Linked DNA regions of Daphnia pulex. Each later gene encodes a partner of the first gene's protein in a complex. Links are inferred from orthologs where the notes say so. Each region holds a gene or a part of one and is shown on either strand. Other genes may lie near its edges.

Region 1 (3,765 bases):
TTCATCGGCTCTCCAACTTTCTCTGCGTGTATGCAAAACAAAAAATATTTCACTTTTCAGAACGCTGCAACATTTCCCGAATTCATAATCAAACTAAAACACAAAAAATAGTACCGTAATAATGACGCACAATTCAAAATAAAAGTGTCGATTGATTCATGTCATTTTCCAACGCAGTTGAGCACGACATCTCACGCCATTTTTTTTTTTTTTGTTAATTATAGTCCACGAGAACCAGCCTACCTTAAATAGTAACTCAACACCAACCAGGATGTTCTTGAGAAGAAGAATCGTATTGCTGACACTGGCCCTTATTTTAGCTATTGTTATCATCACCGTGACCATTGTCGGGCTTCTCATCTCATCATATAATGACCGGTACATGCACAGTATAAATATCCAACAAGAGGAGAAATCGGAGATTGTTCTACTTTCTCAATTTCTTCAGTCTTTACATTCTTATTTATTTTTAAATAAAATTTAAAAAATCTATTTTTGCAGTCAACAGGCAGAAGCGGAAGCTAGAAAAGACCATGGTACTCACATGGAGATAGAAAAATATGAGGATATGGAAAAGAAAATGAGTTCTATCGCTTCTGATTTACCCGAGAGTGATGATACGGAAATCGATGAACGTGACTTTTTACCAGTACCACCAGGTGTAGTCGTAATATTTTGATCATCGCATACACGGACGGTCATGGCTGAAATTATTTTGATTAAACATGAATAGCTACAACAAATACGGACAGCAGCGGCAGCGGATTTGAGCCTTCAAGTACGGAAAAGACTTCGTTGAACGTGAATTCTGTTCCTCTAACAGACGAATATGAATCATCTCAAGAAGTTGGAAGTGGAGATTCGTTAGATCATCATCAAGCCGGTAGTGGAGATAATTCCGAAGATCGACACTTTGGCATGGGAAGTGGGGATTTTTCTGGAGACCGACGAGACGTCGGCAACGGGTTTGATCAACCCGTTTAATTCGTCACAACTAACAAGCAATCTCATTCCGACCTTCCTCTTGCAACTATATAGTACTTTATATAATAAATACAATTTATCCCTGTCACTGCAAATTCTATTGGTAAATTTCTTGTGCACATGTTATGAAAGCTATCCGTAAATACATACAAAATTCGTGTACCATTTAACCGCGACCAAATTCTTTCTGTTACGTAAACCGATGTTAAAACTAAAAGTTTTAACATAGATTTATTTTGTTTTATACTAAAATTGTCAAATTGATTTGGTTCTGAAAACACCGAACACGGATTGGCCTTCAAGTGGGGGATCGTTTGTTAAGCACGTAAAACACTAATTGGTCGATTCGTTGCTGCTGGTAGTTTGAATTCCACGCGAAAATGTCAAAATGATTTGTAGTTCCACTTTTCACCGCTGGGGTGTTTATGGTATACCGTGTCGTCTGCTTTGAACGCTCCTCTACAAACCACAAACTCAAAAATTTCACCTCACCTTCAGAATTTAACGAATAATTGTGGCGTACTTCAACATATGTTTGTTAAATTGTGTTTTAGGTTATTAAGCTTGAAATTTCTATAATCGAGAGGATGACTGAAAGTGTAGAGCAAAAGCTCAAGCACTTGATGAGGAAGGCTTGGAGGGAACGTTGGACAGATCTCATGTGGGGGATATATGTCAAAGAGGTACTTTAACTGTAATTTCGTAACAAAAAAAAATATCTTTACCAGTTTTAAATTAAACTTTCTTTACATAAAGGTAATACCAGCAGGATCAACTGGAGATACATATAATCTAGCAGAAAGCATTTTACAGCAGGCTTTGATCGGACCATCTCCAAATTCAAAGTTGTTGTCATATCTACAGCATTCATTACATGTTCAAGTAAAACCACAACTTTAATTCAATTACTAAACACATTTTGTTTTGCTTGTTAATATTTAATTGCATACCATTTGTGTGTTTTAGATTGTTTCCTACAGTGCTGTTTTCGAAAATATCTGCCTTCAAGGTAGTATCCAGAAAACCAGATGCCTTTTGGAGTTACTACTTTTGGTGGAGCAATCAATAGTAACTTTTCCCATTCAGTCTTAAATTGAGATATGGTTTTAACAATATTATTTATTAGAAACATATTTCATGTACTGGATCTGGCGATGGGCCTGCTGCTTTAGCTGCTTCTCTATTGTCTTTGGAAACTTGGCTTTGGAGTCTTACGTCTGATGGACTAAAAAAACTATTTGATAATAATAGTGCAACCAATGACTATTCAGTCATTTGCCATTATACTACAGGATTACTGGGGACTTTGTATGAAGAGAACTATTTAATATCTCTTCTATACATTGCACGTTGCTGCACTAATGATCAGTTTTCAGCAACTCATCTTACATCGCTTGTAAACCAAACTGAGTCCAACCTGAAAAATTTAACTACTAATGGGAATCCGTCATCAGAAAAACTTGTGGAATCTGTCGAAAAAGTCATGAGGTACTTCATTTGATGTTCTTCGTCAATGAGTGGTCATTAAAACAAATTCTCCACAGGCAATGCCGATCATTTGAAAATGATCTATTCAAAGAAAATGGTCCCGAAAAGCCCTTTTACGAGAACTCATTGTGCACAGACGTACATACATTAATATCTTGGGAGGCGTTGCTTCGCCCCACGTCAGATGGCCTTGAGTTGACTCGACAGTTGGAAGTTCTACAGAAACTAAGAGGCTATTCACCCACCCAGCTCTATTGCGAAATCCTCAGAGCGTGTTGCCTAGGACTAGCCGAAACTGCTGATTCTCCTGGAGAGCTACGTTGGGCTGTATTCACTTTCCTCAAGGCACCGTCATTACTACTCCGACTTCATCGATCAATTTTTGGTACGATTAGCAATATTTTAAAATTTCAAACTGTTCTATTAAATTCTCGTTTATCCAGGATTGGATCCAAATTCGCCTATTGGAGAACCAAGTCCGGAAGTCGCGGGTGCGTTTGAGCGCCTTCTTTGCTATCCTGGACTTTTAGAAACAACCGATGCCAAATGCCATTGCAATGTCGTCGAAGGTTTATTAAATGAAGTGAAAATACGGACATCTCTTTTATCTGAATGGCATGTTACAAGCATCCTCAGCAAAAGAGAAAGTCTATCCCGCGGAGGTCTGAAGTTAGAGACCACTAACACACAAATAGCTACTTTGGTTCTTCGTGCTGAGCCAACGGTGGCCAGTATTCTGAAAACGTTGGATACTGATTACGCTAAAAATCAGGTAATCAAGGAAAATGTAGAGAATTACGTAGAGCAAGTAATAACATCTTCATTTTAGGACACGCTGTTGAAAGTTTTATCTCATTTGCTTTCGGGGCAAAGCTTCGAACTCATACTGAACGCTGCAACTGGGACTGGTAAACTCCGAGCTTTTGCCACAAAACTCGTGCGATTTAACGAAGCGAATCGCCAACCTGCTGGTTCCGATCCAAGTAAAACTGCAAATGCAAGGGCTCTACTCTTTGACATCTCATTTCTAATGCTCTGCCGTATTACGCAAATGTACGGCATTGAGGTAATGAAAATCATCTAATAATTCACACCTGAATGCCTTCTGATGTTACTTGTTCTAATGATCGATAGGTGATACTGAGTGGTGAACTAGGAGGGGAGACTTTCTTTGAGCAGTGGGCTTCAGAATGGCTGAAACCTAATCAGGCGCCTGATTTGTCATTAAGTCGCTGCGATCCCATGTTGACTGATCAGTTATTGAAAGCCTTGACATCTGGAGAGAGTGACCTT
Region 2 (2,185 bases), on another chromosome or scaffold:
GACGAACCTTGTCAAGTGCCTAGTTATGCACACACAATGGTAGGCGCTGGAGCCATGGTTGTCAATGATAAGAATGAGATTCTTGTGGTTCAGGAAAGGTATTACAAAAGACCACACTGGAAACTCCCTGGTGGTTATGTAGATCCAGGTATGTATATTTAGACATCATTAACATTCAATCATTACCAATTATTAAATTTACAGGGGAAAGTATTGCTACTGCTGTCAAGAGGGAGGTGTTTGAGGAGACTGGTATTAAGACAGAGTTCGTTTCACTCGTTGCCGTGCGGCATTTGCAATCAAGAGAGAAGAATCCCAGTGCAAGGTTCGGCTGTTCAGACATTTATTTCGTGACTTATCTCAGACCTGTTGAAGGTAGCACAGAAATCAAAATGTGTCCTCGTGAGCTCAGCGACGCTTGTTGGATGCCGGTTAGTTTTCTAAATGTCAACATTTTCAATTATTCCTAGTCTGTGTAATTGAATTTTAAATATTTTAGCTGAAAGAATATGCGACTCATCCGCTTGCCTTCGAAGTTGGGAAAATCTTTGCTACACAGTTAATGGCGATTGCCGATGGCGATAATCCCGCAATCAACTGCCTGGAATCTATCCATCAATTGACTAATAGCAATAGCCAAATTTACTTAGTTGAAGGAAAACAAAATTTTAAACTGTAATGTGTTCAGGATCACGTTCTAGTATTTTGTTTTAGTGCCTGTTACGGGAATCAGATAACGCATTATATTTAGCTTGAATTGTTGTTTTAACAAATTATATATGCAGATCGGTAAATTACTGCCCAGTTCCTGTAATCATCAGAATGTAGAATTAATTTCACAATACAGGTTGTGAATGTTTAAATTTGGCATTGAAGTTATCAGATTCATCGCTAGGTGGCGTAATAGCCGGCACATCTGCTTTTCTCATCTCTGCATTTCCATCAACAATGGCTGATCGTTTGACACAACTCCAAGACGCTATAAATGCGGTATTTATAACTGATTGCATTGACGAAATTGCCAAGTGTATCGTCTCAAATTCGTGGTTTAATTCTCTGTTTCTAGCAAGCTGATAATTTCTGCAATGCCATCGGTATTTTGCAACAAACCGCCCCACCGGCTACATTCCCAGGTTTCGATCGAGCAGGCAATCGAACACCTCAACAACAACAAGAAGATCACGCTTCTCTTTTTGCCACATTGATTGCCCGCTGCGCCAAAGATATTGACGTCCTAATCGATTCACTACCCAGTGAAGATTCTACCTCCGAACTGCAGGTATAAACTTGGTTCTATTAGTATTCTGTCGGTGCAATGTTCTACGAAGTTGACTAAAATTAATTCAATCGCTGCAGATTGCAAGTCTCAGAAGGCTGGAGAATGAAAATGAAAGTGCCGCTGCACGATTGAGGGAGGTTGTCAGCGAAGGAGAGCTGATGCTCGAGAAAATTCAGAATGCACTTCACGACATTGCACAGACCCAACTGGCCATGCAGAGCACAGGTCCAAATTCCTAAATCCAACCATTATTTGCTCTAGTTCCCTATTTTTGATATTTAAAAGAAGAAAATGAAACAAACAATTTGCTCTGCAAGAATTTCGTTTCATTTCTGGTTTCCGCCACAACATCAATTTTAAATCTGTTCTTTTCAAAATCATATTGAGTGAACATTCTTGTCACACACAGGTGAGGCAAGTCATTTCAGGAAGGAAGGAAGATGGGGTGACAGATTGTAAAAGAAACTGTTTGAAAAGGATTCCAACCTTTTATATATCCACTTCTTTTTTTGTCTTCCTTTAGAAAACCCAAAATGGAAAGAAGGGGGGAGAGAAGTTGCTGTTCACTCGTAAGAAGAGAAAGAACACGCGGTCCGTTTGTTTAGGAATGGCGTGCAACAAAAAAAAAGAGGAGGGGGGAGCGGGAGGAGGAGAAAAAAAAAACGATAGAATGTTGTTTAGCTTTTTATTTTTTAAAAAAGAAGAAGTAGAAAAAATTCTCCCGTGTGTATAAATATAGTGCTGCCATCTTCTCCGACCCCTTTCGGCGATCTCCGGTCGTTCGGTAAGAAGGGGGAAAAATAAAGGGGGTTGGAAGTGGGTGGCGTTCAGTCTCCCCACTTCCTTTTTTTTTCTCTCTCCCTCCCCAACCCTTTTTTGATGCAACAACAGTGTCTGCGTTCAGCG
Region 3 (2,886 bases), on another chromosome or scaffold:
TGTCAGTTCAGGCTGCATGTTTCTCAATTGGCACTCAATTTTAATTATTTCTTCTGAGATTCGCTTAAAGTCTTGAGTTATGTCTTGAACAAGTGTACGAAACTGGATAAAGTCATAATTTGGTCCAGTGCTCAGATAAATCTTATGCCCTCTGGAAAGAAACAATACATGCAAAAATTACCTCATGTGAAATTTTTTAAATAACATTGTAACTCACTCATGAAAAATCTTGTAGGTGTGGACCCTTTCCTCTTGCAATTGCTGGAATTTCCTCAAAAGGCCATAAGCTGTGACTCCATCCATGTTGAGAATTATAATTTTACTAACGTGTAACGAACAAAACGGAATGAACGATCTAGGTAAAGAAAAGATACGAATTGTATTGTATATTTAAAAGGAAATAAGCCTAGGTTATACAAATAATTACCTTTGGAGAAACAGAGTTCTTATTATCACGGTTGCGAAGGTAGGTTTTCTATCCTCGTAACATCACGACTTGTGGTTCCAGAATAAAGAGGACGACTATATTTTAAGGGTGACGACCCGGTCCTTTCATCAACGCCCCTAGGGTCAATTCTGAGACAGACAAAAAAAGGGCTGGGTTACTGGGTTGGAAAAGCTGAGTCTGGCCTTTAAAAAACCCTCTACAATACACTAGGGAGTATGAGATAAGGATTTTTTAAAAAACAGCCTCTGCCTTCAGCCAGTTTTCTGACTTTTCTTGAGACTATTGAAGGACGCCGAACTCGAATTCGAAAGTTGAATTCGACCTCTGGCTAGATAGATATTTTTTGATAACATGAATAATAAAATATACATCAACAGTTTGATACTATTACCAGACGGAAATTGAAAAAAATTGTGATTAAACTCACCATTAAATCACACGAGGCGGACACAAAACTATCTACCCTAGCAACTGCCACTGAGTCTAAACCTCGTGTGACTTTTTGACTTTTGAAAGCGTGCTCTCGCCAACTTGGCCAATTCAAGTCCTCGGGCAAAAATATTTGCATAGAGGAGCATCTAGTTATATCTTTTGGGTACAGGTGGCGCTGGTGTTTCGTTATGCTTTTTCGCTGCTGTGTTTACTCTGTCAATTGTCATTTTTGGCATCCAACATTTGCCTGAATAATTTATTAATATCTATAATTACTACGATATATCGGATTCGACCAAGGTCAGTCTAGTCGGATACGGAGATTTTACAAGCGATGACCTCATACTAACGAGTAAAAAGGGTAAAAGTTTTTGACAAAAAATGTCGGAATCATTCACCATCCAAGTGGCCGATTCTCTTCGGAGATTTGAGCCGAATTCTCCAAGATCTTCTCCAAGAGGAAATCGAAGCCCAGTTGTTCCCAGGCAACAAGATTCCACTGGAACACTGAAAACCACCATATCACTTGGAAAGACCCCAACAATTGTTCATACCGGACCATTTTATCTTCACAAGGAACTGCCAGGTATACATATTTTACGTGACTGTATCATTCTTTCACTCAAGGTAAATCTATCGCAGGAGATACTGACCTAACCGGAGCAACAAATTTAATGGCTCACTACAATTTGGAACATTCATACAACAAATTCAGTGGCAAAAAGTTCAAAGATTCGCTATCTTCATTCTTACCTGGATTACCCGGCATGATTGATACTCCTGGTAACACAGACAATTCATCCTTAAGATCCATCATTGAAAAACCTCCAATCGGTGGCAAGGAGTTGGTATTCTTGAATTCCTCTCAACTTGCAGGATTCCGTCTTCATCCAGGACCAGTAAGAGACTTTTAGACAGCAAATCACATAATTGTTATTTTAATTTTCACATCTTTATTTCATAGTTGCCTGAGCAGTATCAAACCTCTTCCCTGGCCCCACTGAAGAAAAAACAGAAACACAAGAAACACAAAAAGAGTAGCGAGATCTCAATTCAAGAAACTGGAGCTGGAATCGCTGGACCGGGCATTGGAGTAGTAGGAGAGGGAGGAGCCGGTTCGGGCGGTGAATCCTACGAAAAAAAGCATAAGAAACAAAAGCGACACGAAGATGAGAAAGATCGCAAGAAGAAGAAGAAGGAGAAGAAGAAAAAGAAACAGAAGCACAGTCCAGAACACCCAGGAGCATCAGCCTCAATCGGTACTACAAATTCAAACAGTAACCCACCTGGAATGATGCCCTTACTTTGAGAAACCTTCTTGTCACGTCGATTTATTTCGAATTTTTTCTGCTTCTTTCGAGAGTATAAATAAAATTCCATTCAATGAGTGAATTTTGGTTTATTATTATTCATTCTTTCAAATATTTTCTTCTAAATCGGAGTTTGAAAGCTATAGCGTTGGCTTGCCCGAAAACAATGATAAGCACGTCACGATAGCTACACGCAAGTCACAATCGCTCAAATGATATGATCAATAGGGTAAAACAACTTTATATTCATTAATTACAAATACTAACAGTGAATGTTCGAACGCAAATTTGTCAACTGCTGTTGGTTCAAATTTCTTGATGAACCGTACCATGACTAGATAATTATTATTGCGACGACTCGTACGACAAAACGAACGAGTAATCATTTAAGTACAACAACTAAAAGTAACAAGCGAATCAAGTGATGTCCGGTGTGTGTTGCTTGGTCGATTGATGATGAGCTTTCAAGTCGGCTCAACCTTTTTACGCTGTTCGCTTCCGGCGGCCACGTAAGAAAACACGCAGAGAACAGCGTAACAAATCTGATCCGCCTGTTTTGTTTAAAAGAACAAAAAAAGGTTGATTAATATAATAACAAATGATTCAACAGAAGACACAGCAAAAGAAAAATAAATAAATAAAAAGCAGGTCAAATAGCAAAACGAAACTTGCCTTTGACCGGATCACAACAAAGAA

The links.
Region 2: mediator of RNA polymerase II transcription subunit 24-like (region 1) and mediator of RNA polymerase II transcription subunit 21-like share a complex: the UniProt entries of both Drosophila melanogaster proteins name them as parts of the mediator complex. The link is inferred for Daphnia pulex from reciprocal best matches to the Drosophila melanogaster genes MED24 and MED21.
Region 3: mediator of RNA polymerase II transcription subunit 24-like (region 1) and mediator of RNA polymerase II transcription subunit 19-like share a complex: the UniProt entries of both Drosophila melanogaster proteins name them as parts of the mediator complex. The link is inferred for Daphnia pulex from reciprocal best matches to the Drosophila melanogaster genes MED24 and MED19.

Annotation. Positions count from the first base shown.
Region 1 is NC_060019.1:9,367,089-9,370,853, reverse strand, and holds the start of mediator of RNA polymerase II transcription subunit 24-like, read left to right. Parts: upstream 1-1,379; 5' UTR 1,380-1,571; coding exon 1,572-1,667; intron 1,668-1,740; coding exon 1,741-1,866; intron 1,867-1,950; coding exon 1,951-2,052; intron 2,053-2,110; coding exon 2,111-2,472; intron 2,473-2,528; coding exon 2,529-2,857; intron 2,858-2,915; coding exon 2,916-3,244; intron 3,245-3,301; coding exon 3,302-3,538; intron 3,539-3,606; coding exon 3,607-3,765. UniProt on the Drosophila melanogaster protein: Component of the Mediator complex, a coactivator involved in the regulated transcription of nearly all RNA polymerase II-dependent genes.
Region 2 is NC_060027.1:1,946,047-1,948,231, reverse strand, and holds mediator of RNA polymerase II transcription subunit 21-like, read left to right. Parts: upstream 1-855; 5' UTR 856-948; coding exon 949-990; intron 991-1,066; coding exon 1,067-1,279; intron 1,280-1,356; coding exon 1,357-1,518; 3' UTR 1,519-1,595; downstream 1,596-2,185. Other genes in the region: nudix hydrolase 8-like, read left to right, coding at 1-148, 205-431, 500-679. UniProt on the Drosophila melanogaster protein: Component of the Mediator complex, a coactivator involved in the regulated transcription of nearly all RNA polymerase II-dependent genes.
Region 3 is NC_060023.1:10,280,595-10,283,480, forward strand, and holds mediator of RNA polymerase II transcription subunit 19-like, read left to right. Parts: upstream 1-1,044; 5' UTR 1,045-1,261; coding exon 1,262-1,466; intron 1,467-1,507; coding exon 1,508-1,779; intron 1,780-1,844; coding exon 1,845-2,189; 3' UTR 2,190-2,272; downstream 2,273-2,886. Other genes in the region: required for excision 1-B domain-containing protein-like, read right to left, coding at 1-151, 218-303; MAP kinase-activating death domain protein-like, read right to left, coding at 2,655-2,741. UniProt on the Drosophila melanogaster protein: Component of the Mediator complex, a coactivator involved in the regulated transcription of nearly all RNA polymerase II-dependent genes.